Linked DNA regions of Schizosaccharomyces pombe. Changing the gene in region 1 together with any one later gene gives a genetic interaction. Each region holds a gene or a part of one and is shown in the gene's direction. Other genes may lie near its edges. The genes, in order: gst1, rds1 and rpl3801.

Evidence for each region.
Region 2: mutations in gst1 (region 1) and rds1 together harm fitness less than expected from each alone (positive genetic interaction), as found in Schizosaccharomyces pombe (one large-scale study listed by BioGRID).
Region 3: mutations in gst1 (region 1) and rpl3801 together harm fitness more than expected from each alone (negative genetic interaction), as found in Schizosaccharomyces pombe (one large-scale study listed by BioGRID).

Annotation. Positions count from the first base shown.
Region 1 is NC_003421.2:1,718,516-1,722,041, reverse strand, and holds gst1 (glutathione S-transferase Gst1), read left to right. Parts: upstream 1-1,971; 5' UTR 1,972-2,027; coding exon 2,028-2,717; 3' UTR 2,718-2,899; downstream 2,900-3,526. Other genes in the region: SPOM_SPCC191.10 (uncharacterized protein), read right to left, coding at 1-214. UniProt on the Schizosaccharomyces pombe protein: Involved in the oxidative stress response and detoxification.
Region 2 is NC_003424.3:1,665,653-1,670,182, forward strand, and holds rds1 (protein rds1), read left to right. Parts: upstream 1-2,086; 5' UTR 2,087-2,418; coding exon 2,419-3,627; 3' UTR 3,628-3,970; downstream 3,971-4,530. Other genes in the region: SPOM_SPAC343.21 (uncharacterized protein), read left to right, coding at 1,135-1,611; SPOM_SPAC343.20 (uncharacterized protein), read right to left, coding at 3,971-4,312. UniProt on the Schizosaccharomyces pombe protein: May have a function in stress-related responses of the cell.
Region 3 is NC_003423.3:752,998-755,931, forward strand, and holds rpl3801 (60S ribosomal protein eL38), read left to right. Parts: upstream 1-1,639; 5' UTR 1,640-1,654; coding exon 1,655-1,657; exon of another isoform or gene 1,658-1,786; coding exon 1,787-1,973; exon of another isoform or gene 1,974-2,152; coding exon 2,153-2,187; 3' UTR 2,188-2,303; downstream 2,304-2,934. Other genes in the region: cym1 (metalloendopeptidase), read left to right, coding at 1-818; SPOM_SPBC577.03C (GCN5-related N-acetyltransferase), read right to left, coding at 2,563-2,934.

The DNA of each region.
Region 1 (3,526 bases):
AGAGCCGAATTTTCGTTTGGAATTGCGAAATTTCCTGTCTCCCACAAGAAGATCTCATAATGTTCATTTTTGGGGATAATTTAGGAATCAAATGGGCATTTATTGCTTTTCCTGCATTCTTCTTGAAAGATGGATATTTCTCTTCCTTTTGATCCGAACGGATCAAAAGTCGTGCTGTCCACATATCGTTGTATTTCCGTCTGCTAGAATGCATCATCAGCAATCTAGACGTATCTTCTTGTTCTCGACATCCTTTTCCAAAAATTTTTAATTCTGAAATCTATCAGCAACTCCCTTAAACTCAAAATATCGATTCCTTTATCTTGAGGAGCGATGGATGGGCTAGAAATTTTGATTCAATAGGTAGGTTTTTTTTTTTGCAATTGCATTAGTAACTGTTTGGAGGTAAATTGAAATAACAAGCATTACTTAAACCCTTTGCCTTTTTTTTTGAATCTTTTTTTTTAAAAGGAATCGTTTGTAGAGTACTTTGAAACTGCAGCCTTAATTCAACGTCTTCTTGACTACCTTTATTTTCCAAATTATGCGAACCTCGCTTGCATGCGACTATACAAAAAATAAGGAAACCAGTCTCGCATAAAATTAAATTTAATTTTAATCTTCAAAGCATCTCGATTTCGCGGACTAGGATCCTGGATAAATGCGTTGAAACTAAGCCGATGGGTTGTAAGAATATGGGAAAAGCTGCAATGTATCACATTGAATAGTCAATTGAAGGACATGGAGCTTTGAGCTTGTTGAATGAATAAAAGTTTTTGATGAATAAACGTTATTAGACATGATTGTATTTATCGGGTTTCGACTTTAAAAGTTCAATCAATTAATGAAAGACGTAAAAGCTGGACGTTTATTGAATAATCCAAAAAAGGTTATTTTTATATACTTTTAAAAAGAAAAAAAATAGTATTTAACGGATATAAACATGTATTGGTTCATGTACTTGCTTTACTCTGATCAAGTTGGTGTATGCTTTTTGGTTTCCATTGCTCTTTTTCTGATTATAATGCAAAATTACTCATCGTGTTTGCAGTTATGTTGAATAGCTTTAAAATTTACGTATCGTATTGTCAAGGTAGTAAATGTAAACAAAAAATTTTCATAGGGAATCATTACCAATTCGCTTACAGAAATTAAACATATTACACTCACTGTATGATGAAAAATAAAGTAGATTTCGAAATAAGATTATTAGAGTGAAGAGAATTTTAAATTGATATGTGAGAAACAAAACTCCGTCATAACTAATCTTTACAGTTGAAAATCCAATTGTGAATCCCTAGCATGTTTGAATTAATATGTGCAGTAGTCTAAAAGCAAGTTTGACACGTTGGTTTTTGAACAGGTGGTGAACAAAATAAATCTCGAGCGTATGGTTGAGACTATTTTATTATTTTTATATTAACTTTATCATAAGATGTCTATTCAACTGACTCGTAAATTCTGAAAACTACATGTCTTAAGAACCTGAAACAGTTTTAATTGCATTTGAATTTGGAATTGCATTAAGCCGACCCTTTAAGAAATTAAATATAACACTAAGCATACGTTTATTTCCCACAAGGATTATACATAGTTAAACAAAACGAGAAGTCAGTCCCCACGCACTATATGTTGGTAGAAATTTTACATGAAATTTTGATGCATTACAAGATTGATTAAATGTAGCGTGTAACCGGCTAACAGGATTCAAATGTATTAGTAAATGGAATCGGTAGTAGATTTATCTTTCTTTGATCACGTTTTGACATAAATCATAACTTCCGGCTTGTCGTCAGCTAATCGAGTAAAATTTAGTTGAATCCACGTATGAGTCTAATGTATGATCGATTAGTAAGTTGGATGAAATTGATCAACTCGATTTCGGGTGTTTTCCAAAATTTTTCATAAATATTGCATACGCAATGGAAGTAAGAATTGTATATAAAATGGTAAAGATGCTCTTTATATTTTAATCCATTGCCAAACTCCTTTCATTTAACAATAGAACACACTCAAAATAAAGTATCATGGCTCAATTCACTTTATGGTCGCATGCTCATGGTCCTAATCCATGGAAGGTGGTTCAAGCGCTGAAGGAGTTGGACCTTACCTATGAAACCAGATATGTGAATTTTTCAAAAAATGAGCAGAAATCCCCCGAACACTTAGCCTTAAACCCTAACGGTAGAGTACCTACCTTGATTGATCACCACAATAACGATTATACCATTTGGGAATCTGATGCCATTTTAATCTATTTAGCTGACAAATATGATACGGAAAGGAAGATATCTTTGCCTCGTGACCATCCTGAATACTACAAAGTTATACAATATTTATTTTTTCAAGCTTCTGGCCAAGGCATCATTTGGGGACAGGCTGGATGGTTTAGCGTCTATCATCAGGAGCTAGTCATATCTGCCATTACCCGTTATAGGAATGAAATCAAACGTGTTCTAGGAGTCCTCGAAGATATCCTTAAAGACCGTGATTATCTCGTGGCCAACCGGTTCACAATTGCTGACTTATCATTCATTTCATGGAATAACTTCCTTGAAATTATTTTTGCAGAAGGAAAGTTTTCAATCGAGGAAGAAGTGCCTCAGCTCGACTTTGAAAAAGAGTTTCCTAGAACTTATTCCTGGCATCAAAGACTTCTTGCCAGACCTGCTAGCAAGGCTACCTTCGAAGAAAGATCAAAGGCTTTGGATAATTAAGTGAATTTGTGGCGTCTATCTTGATAATAACGTTCCAATATTTCAATTGATTGATTGATTCTTTATATTTCAAAATTCATGCATTGTTTACTTTCCTTTATGCATATAGATATAGACTCAACTTTTTCGTTTCATACATCAATTGTTCAAGTGCTCTTTCAATAATATCATCTTTAAACTATGATTTTCTACTATACATTCCGAAAATATATACAAAGCAGACCATGTAACATCCATCGTATTGCTCTTGCTAAAATTGGTATTTATTGTTTGGAAAAGCCAATCATCAAAAGTAAAAAATATAAAATGAAAGAAGGGATAGCTGTAATCATGTCGAAATGACTTGAGGCGCTAATTTTATTTTATTTTTTTATTGTTACTATCTTTTTATTTTTCTTATACTACAAGACCTTTTTTATTTTTTTTTTTTAAATAATGTCGTCAATTTATTGAGAAAAGTTCAATGATTTTATTAAATTTTTAAGTAAATTATAAATATTATGTCTAAAACAAAAGCTCGAATAAATAATAATCAAATATTGTTTTCTTTATATGTTGGGCAGGCTTGTCTTATATTTTTTATTTTAATTATTCTGAATATTGTAAATAAGATGAATTCAAATACTCATGAACACAAATATAATGTAGGGTATGAAGAAGTGATTCATTATCGAATTTAGAAAGGTCCTAATATAAAAAACAAAGAGAAAATCAATATAAGCAGTCGCTGTATATTAAATTATCCAATTTGCTTAATTCAAGAGTGTTCTTATAAAGCTCAAGAATATGATAATTAGTAACAAAGCAAA
Region 2 (4,530 bases), on another chromosome or scaffold:
TTCCTCTTTTTTTCCTTCAATTAGTTACAAAATATCATAAAAAAATTTACAGATTTTATTTATTATTATTAATTATTATTATTATATTTTTCTTTTTTTTTTACCTTGTTTTCCCTCCCCACGTCTCTCCTTCCCGCACATATATATCTATTTATACTTTTCCAGAACGAGACCACAATAACGTAATGCAGTGAAGGACAGGGTGGTACTTCCACCAAGAAAAAACGAGTTTGCCGAGAAGATTCACCTTCCCAACGCTTTGCGCAAAGCTTCCCTGTAGCTGGAATAGGGTAAACGGCAAAGAGAAACCCAGCAGAGGGGACCAACCAGAGAGGAATGAAAATTTTCAGGAGAGGTAGAAGGAGAAGGAGAAGCAGGGCGAGAAGGTGTTAAGTTTAAGTATATGCAAGAGTTGAATAAGAGGTGAACAGAGATGAGCAATAGTGAAGGGCATAGTAATACGGTGTGTTTGGGTTACGAGGAAGAAATGGATGAGAAGGAAATCTATTAAAATTTATTGAATTGATTTTATTTTATTACATTGGAGTTTCTTTTAGAATTTTTATGTTTCATTACAGTACGCCTTTTTTTTTTCTCTATGCTTTTGCTTATTTTTCTTTTCTTTTTTTTCAAGTTTTATTTCCTATATACTTATTCTAATTTATTGGATTTTTTTTTTATTAATTTATTTATTTATTTATTTTCTATTATTTTATATTATTTTTTATTTGAATTTTTCTGCCCCCGCCCCGAAACACGGCAGCTGTAACATACTTCCCGCAAATGCAATACAATGCAATGCTTGATCGTTCCGTAAGTCTGACGAAAAGATGGTCAAGCTTATTGACGAGTCGATGGATGGTTGCGATAAGACTAGCTATGCCGGGGAAAAAGGCCGCGCCTTTATACAATCATGCAAACAATCAATGGTCGACAGAACGATTAAATCAATAAAGTTTGAATGAGTTAATAAAGTCGATTCAGTCAAAAATTCAAAAAAAAAATATCAAACAGTCTAGTCTAATCAAATCAAATAATCAAGTTATCAACTAATTCAAAAAATCAAATACTTTAAGTAAATTAATTGTTTGACTGAATCGATTATAGAATCAATCACCAATCGAATAGATAGATATGGTTAGCTACAATGTGCTAACTAAACTGTTTTTTATTTTCTCCGGAGGTTTGGTTTTTTTTTTTTTTGAATTTTTTTTAAATCATTTCAATTACTATCCTACCAAACTTTTGTATTACATTACATTCTATTTCATTAAAAATCATCCTTCTCTTTTTCTTTTATTTAATTTTTTTTTGTCCACAGCATCTTTTTCCTATTCTTTTCCCTCAAAGTCTCATTTAACTTTTTACTCAAAAGGTGCTCCCTCTGTCTTTTTTCTATCTCTCAAATCTTCCCCATGTCCCGGGTACTGCTCCTCTACTCTACTCTACTCTACCTCTAACTTGCTCCCTTCCCTCCCCTCCCCCCTCCATGCTCCTCCTCCACTCGGCTCACGTTTGCTTCACGTTTTTTTTTACCGTAGATCAAACGCATCGGCGTATCCTTCTTTTACGCCCCGCTATTCTTTTTTCCCTTCTTTCACTTTACGATGAGCTTCTCGCTATCTTTCTTACGGTGCTTTCTTCGCCTTGCTCCTTCACGTGCGATGATGAAATGGATGCGACATTCTATTAACATCGGCATCGGCGATGGCCAGCTAGACTTTTCGTCGCGTCGACATGCAGAGGTTTGATAAATAAATGTGCGTGCGTGCGCATGGCATATTTCTTTCGATTTTATTTTCGTCAAAATCATCATGCGATGAATGCCACTGATTTTTCTTTGCTCGAATACTCTGGCTCCTCGTCATTTTCTTCATCGCAACATCATCGTGCGAATTTCGCATGCATGGCGCTCTCGGCTTGTAAATCCCTATGCTTGGGAAAACGTAAGGGTTGGAAGCGATGATATAGTACCAAGTCACACGTCAAGCTGAGACCGATATACGTTCCAAGCTTGAGCCTATGACATGGTACTTCCGTCTTTATTCTCGTGGTATATATAGATCGCATTCACTAGCCTTACTTTAGCCGTCGCAAATTGTGTGACTTTGTTTTGCCCTTGTTTAAGTAAGTAAGAAAAAATAAACGAGCTTGTCTTGTGAAATATCAAGCCTACCTCTCTCTCTCTCTCTCTCTGTGCTTCCCTGCTACTCTACTCCTAATACTACTACTACTACCACGTTTGTTAGTTGTAGTTTTTTTTGGTTGGATTGCTATTTTGAAAAAGACCTCGTTCGTCGCTTCTTTTTATATTTTTAATTTCTTTTCGTGTCGGTGCGTGTGGAAAACCTAGTTGATTCTACCTTACCTTAATAAAACACTATCGCCTCTTTTTTTGTATATCTATAAATCTATACAATGGTTCAAGCTCTTACTGCTTCTTTAATGGCCGGCGCTCTCTTGGCGCGCGGTATCATCGGTGCTAAGGCCGATCCAGTTAACTTTGCTGGTATTGGCGGTGCCGCTTACGAATACAACTACACTGCTACTGGTTCCTTTAATCAATCTATCATGCCTGCTAACTTTACTCCTGCTGGCGGCATCGATACTAATGATAGCAGCCCTACTTATCACCCTTTCAGTGACTTTGACTACCAGTCCTTGTCTCTCGCTCTATACCACGAGTACATCGAGTACGACCTCTTCAACTACGGTCTCACTAAATTCTCTGATGCCGAGTTTGACGAGGCCGGCATTGACGCCGAGTACCGTCACTTGATTCGCTTCATGGCCCAACAAGAAATCGGCCACATCGAGCTTGTCACCAACATGCTTGGCCCCAACGCCCCCAAGGCTTGCTCTTACCAGTACAACTTTGACACTGTGGGCTCCTTCATTGACTTTGCTCAAACCCTTACTAAGTGGAGTGAATCCGGTGTCTATGGTTTCCTTCCCCACCTTGACTCTCGCGCAGCAGCTGCTCTTTTGCTTCAATCCATCACCACTGAAGCTCGTCAACAAATGTCTCTCCGTCAATTACAAGGTCTCTTCCCTTACCCCGTCTGGTTTGAAACTGGCATTCCTCAATCCTTTGCTTGGTCCTTGATTGCCCCTTTCATTGTTGGCTGCCCTGCCGAAAACGAAAAGTTGGTTTGGCAAAACTTCCCTGCCTTACATTTGGTTAGCCCTCCTGTTCACACTAATTTCACCAACGGCTCTTTCCCTCAGTACCCTAACGGTACCTACATGTATCCCGCCGCTGTCTCCACCAACCGTACCTTCCCTCTCTCTCTTCCCGGACAAAGCGTCGAATTGGCTTGGGATGCTCCCGGTATGGCTGTCGGTCCTAACAGCTCCTACATCACTTCCACCTCTGCCGGAACTCCTCGTTATGCTGCTTGGATTTCCCAATTGAACGTTACTTACGCTCCCTTAAACATCACCGGCAACAACAGCGGTGTTACCTACCAACCCAGCTCTCACCTTTACAACGACTCTACCCAGCAAGTCATTAACGGTACCAACTTCTTGGTTCTCGTTGACGAAGCTATCCCCGTCACTCCCTTCAACATCACTGCCATCAACGAGCACGTTGTTGCTGGTCCTCTTGTTTACGAGTCCGGATAAGCGTCTCTATCAAGGCAAACTCCCTTAGTTGCACATGTACACATCATGTAGATGATTGACTCAGTTGATTGAGCTCGTTTGTATATGTGGCTAGGTTGGAGCCTTAATAATTAGACTCGCCTTACCATGGATTTATTTCATCAAAAATCATACTCGTTCACGATTCTATCTATTGGCCTGTCTTCTTTTGGTTTGGATATGTGACCAACATACAAAAAGTTTGGTACGTCTAATCCAGCTTTGACCAACAGTCTTATGATTTTTTTATGACTTTTAAACCCCTGGAAGCCGTCGGCTACTAGGAAACCTTTAAACATAAAGGGGGAATTCCTCCTTTTAATATTTATTCTCTTTTCGGTGAATCCAACATTCCATTATTTATTCGTAGTCTTTTGTATTTGATTGATTGTAGTGCGTATAAGTCGGCGTGGCAGTAAATGAGCTTAGTAAGAAGTGAAGTATGTAAAGTAATAGCTAAGTAGTAAACAAATTTCGAAAACTTGGTAAAATTTGTTGTAGCGTAAGTCAATGAACGGAGTAAGCAGTGTCTTGGTACATATATATATCTGACGCGATGGTGTACGCAAAAGATGGTGGAGGAGTGGCTGGTTGATGAGGAGGCTGGTCCAAAACTCGCAGAGTTGATTTCGTCATTCAATTGCAAAGGGAGCATTGTAACTTTCATGTTTGAATCAATTGCATGTAATTTAAAAAAAAATATAAGAGACGGTTGTGATTGGAATGTTTTTGTAAAAATTCCAATTTGCTCGTTTCAATTTTCAATACAGTGAAAGTTGAAAAACGTTAAAGTATCTTAAAATGGTCTCACTACCACGTCCACAGCTTTTGCATCAAAGTTTCCTTTTCTAATGAGCATATATATACAGTCAATAAATAATATTA
Region 3 (2,934 bases), on another chromosome or scaffold:
AACTTGGTGGTCTTACTCAAGTAAAGCTGTTAAGCCAGTTATCTAGAGAAGAAAGCTTTGGTCCGTTAGTCGAAAAGCTTACAGCTATTCGTGAAATTTTACGAGGCACATCTGGTTTTAAAGCTGCTATAAACGCAAGCCCTACACAACATGAAGTTGTTGAAAAGGCGTTACAAAAATTTATGAAGTCACGGGGAGTCAATCAACAAACTCAGACCAAATCGACTTCCAAGGAACGAAATGGTATTAATTCTATTAAAACCTATCATGAATTACCTTTTCAAACCTATTTCGCTGCGAAGTCTTGTTTAGGCGTTCCATATACCCATCCAGATGGAGCACCGCTTCAAATTCTTTCATCGCTTTTGACACACAAATATCTGCATGGTGAAATTCGTGAGAAAGGAGGCGCATATGGGGCTGGTCTTTCTTACAGTGGTATAGATGGTGTACTGTCTTTCTTTACTTATCGGGATTCCGATCCAATACGTTCTTTATCAGTTTTTGACGAGGCATCTGAATGGGCAACCACTCACGAGTTTTCTCAGAGAGATATAGATGAAGCCAAACTAGCAGTATTTCAAGGAATTGATAGCCCGGTTAGTGAAAGCCAAAAAGGAATGCTTTACTTTGTCGATGGGGTTACAGACGAAATGCTTCAAAATAGGCGAAAGCAGCTACTAAATGTTTCAGCGAATGATTTGAAGGCCGTTGCCAAAAAATATTTGGTAAATCCAAAAAAGAGCTATACCGCTGTTCTTGGCCCCAAGTCAGAGAAGCAATTACCAACGTGGGTGATTGATAAGTTTGAAAGTTGATTATGATACTATTTATCCTTACTCGAAAAGCAATACGTATTTTTTTTTTTTTTTTTTTGTAAAATGATTTAATGATTTTAGTGAACGAAAGCAATAATTATTTTGACACTTGAAAGGCAATGTTTAAGCTTCGTTGGAATTTCTCATGAGTTTATTTAAAAGTCGTTTCCGTCGTGGAACAAAAAATTCGTATAGAAGCACGCTCATATAAATCAAACTTCCTCTATATGTAGTAGTTAGTATGCTTTATCTTTATAATTCACAAGAATGCTGCTATGTTGTTAATACTTTGTAGACAGACAGATAGAGCCTTGATCCACATTTGGATAGGATGAAAGCATTTTATTGTAAAAATCTATTTTTTCGCAATTGATGTAATATAGTTTTCAAAAACGAAGAGCATAAAGTCGTTTGATCCTAATAGAAAGATGTAAAAGATATAGCAAATGGATATGTAAATCTATTGAAAACATTTCTTTGTTGTTACACTTCATCTATCAATTTCCAAAAACATTATGCATGGAAAAATTAAAGTATTAACTATAGATTAAGATATAAATATTGACCATCTCTTATTCTATTTTTTTTTAATTTTATTATCACGTACACTTAGTATATACCTGAGCTAAGCAATTTAAAAAACGAACTTCAATCTAACGCCCATTCAAGCAGTATAGTGAAGGATAGTGTTAATCCCCTTGAGCGAATACCGGCTGATTAAGAGCTCGTAATTTCTTTTTAACGAGTTACAAACCATTCGAGTTGTAAAACACAGTCACAGAAATTTTGATAAACTGGAAAGAATGAATTCTTGGTCTTTCACCAAGCTCAACAAAATGGTAAGTGAGATAAGTAGAGGTTTCAGCAGCTTATGGAAGAGAAAACTGTTTTCATCTTTCGTTCGTTAAAGTTGTCTCTGTAAAATATATTCAGTGTTAGGAATGACCATCGACTAATGCATGTTTTAGCCTCGTCAAATCAGTGACATTAAGCAATTCTTGGAGATCGCTCGCAGAAAGGATGCTACTTCTGCCCGCATCAAGAAGAACACTAACAAGGACGTTAAGTTCAAGCTTCGTTGTTCCAAGTACTTGTATACCTTGGTTGTCGCTGACGCCAAGAAGGCTGAGAAGCTCCGTCAATCTCTTCCTCCCGGTATGTTATATAAACTACTAAGAAAGATTAACTCAGTTACTTTTTATTGAGGGAACTACATTTCCTTAAAGCATTTTGCGAAGGAATTCTTCCTAAAGCGTTGATAATTCGTGAAACAAATGATCAGCTCTGAGTTAATCGTTCATATAAGTGAACTCAAGCTAACAAGTTTTCTATAGATTTGACCGTTACTGAGGTTGGAAAGAAGGCATAAAGTTTCTGGTTGAGTGATTAATGAAAAAGAAACCTCTCATGGTTTTTGCATTCAGTTAAAAACAAAAATTTTCTTTTTCAAAAGTAAAATGATCAATAAAGATTGTATTCATATTATTTTGTAATGTAATGTAAAAATCGAAGAGTAGAAATCGGTGAAATTATCCAAGTTGTTCACGAATTTTATAAGCAGACCCAATTCGCGATTATAAAATAAAGGTCTGTATGTAAATAATTGTTGTTGCGAGATGAGAGGTATAATTAGCCATAGGGTTGTGTAGAAAACAATTTTTAATAAACCCTTTTAAAGTAGTTCGCTGCATGTAACACTTGCATAAAGTAAACAAGTAAATAACTTTAAGCGTTGTTGCATCGCTTATGAAGTCCTCATTAGTTCAAGCTCTACATGATCAAAATAAGCGTTGTACTTAACTTGAGAGAAGCCCAATTTCTTGAATAGCCGAATACTAGGCTTGTTTTGGGAGCCAACTTTGACTCGATACTTAAGGATTTGCTTATTTTTGGCAATTCCACTGGATTCAACATAGTGCAAAAATGCATCTACAATCTTGGTTCCATATCCTTTCCTTCTATTCTGAGGCTCTGCAATCATCAATTCAAGTTCACCTACTATATGTACCTCTGACTCCTTCGTAGCATTGGTAGCATTAGCATCACTGGGAGAATCATCAAATTCTTCTATACCGTCTGCGTATTCCTCAGTCAAAAACATGTTCACATCCCCAAT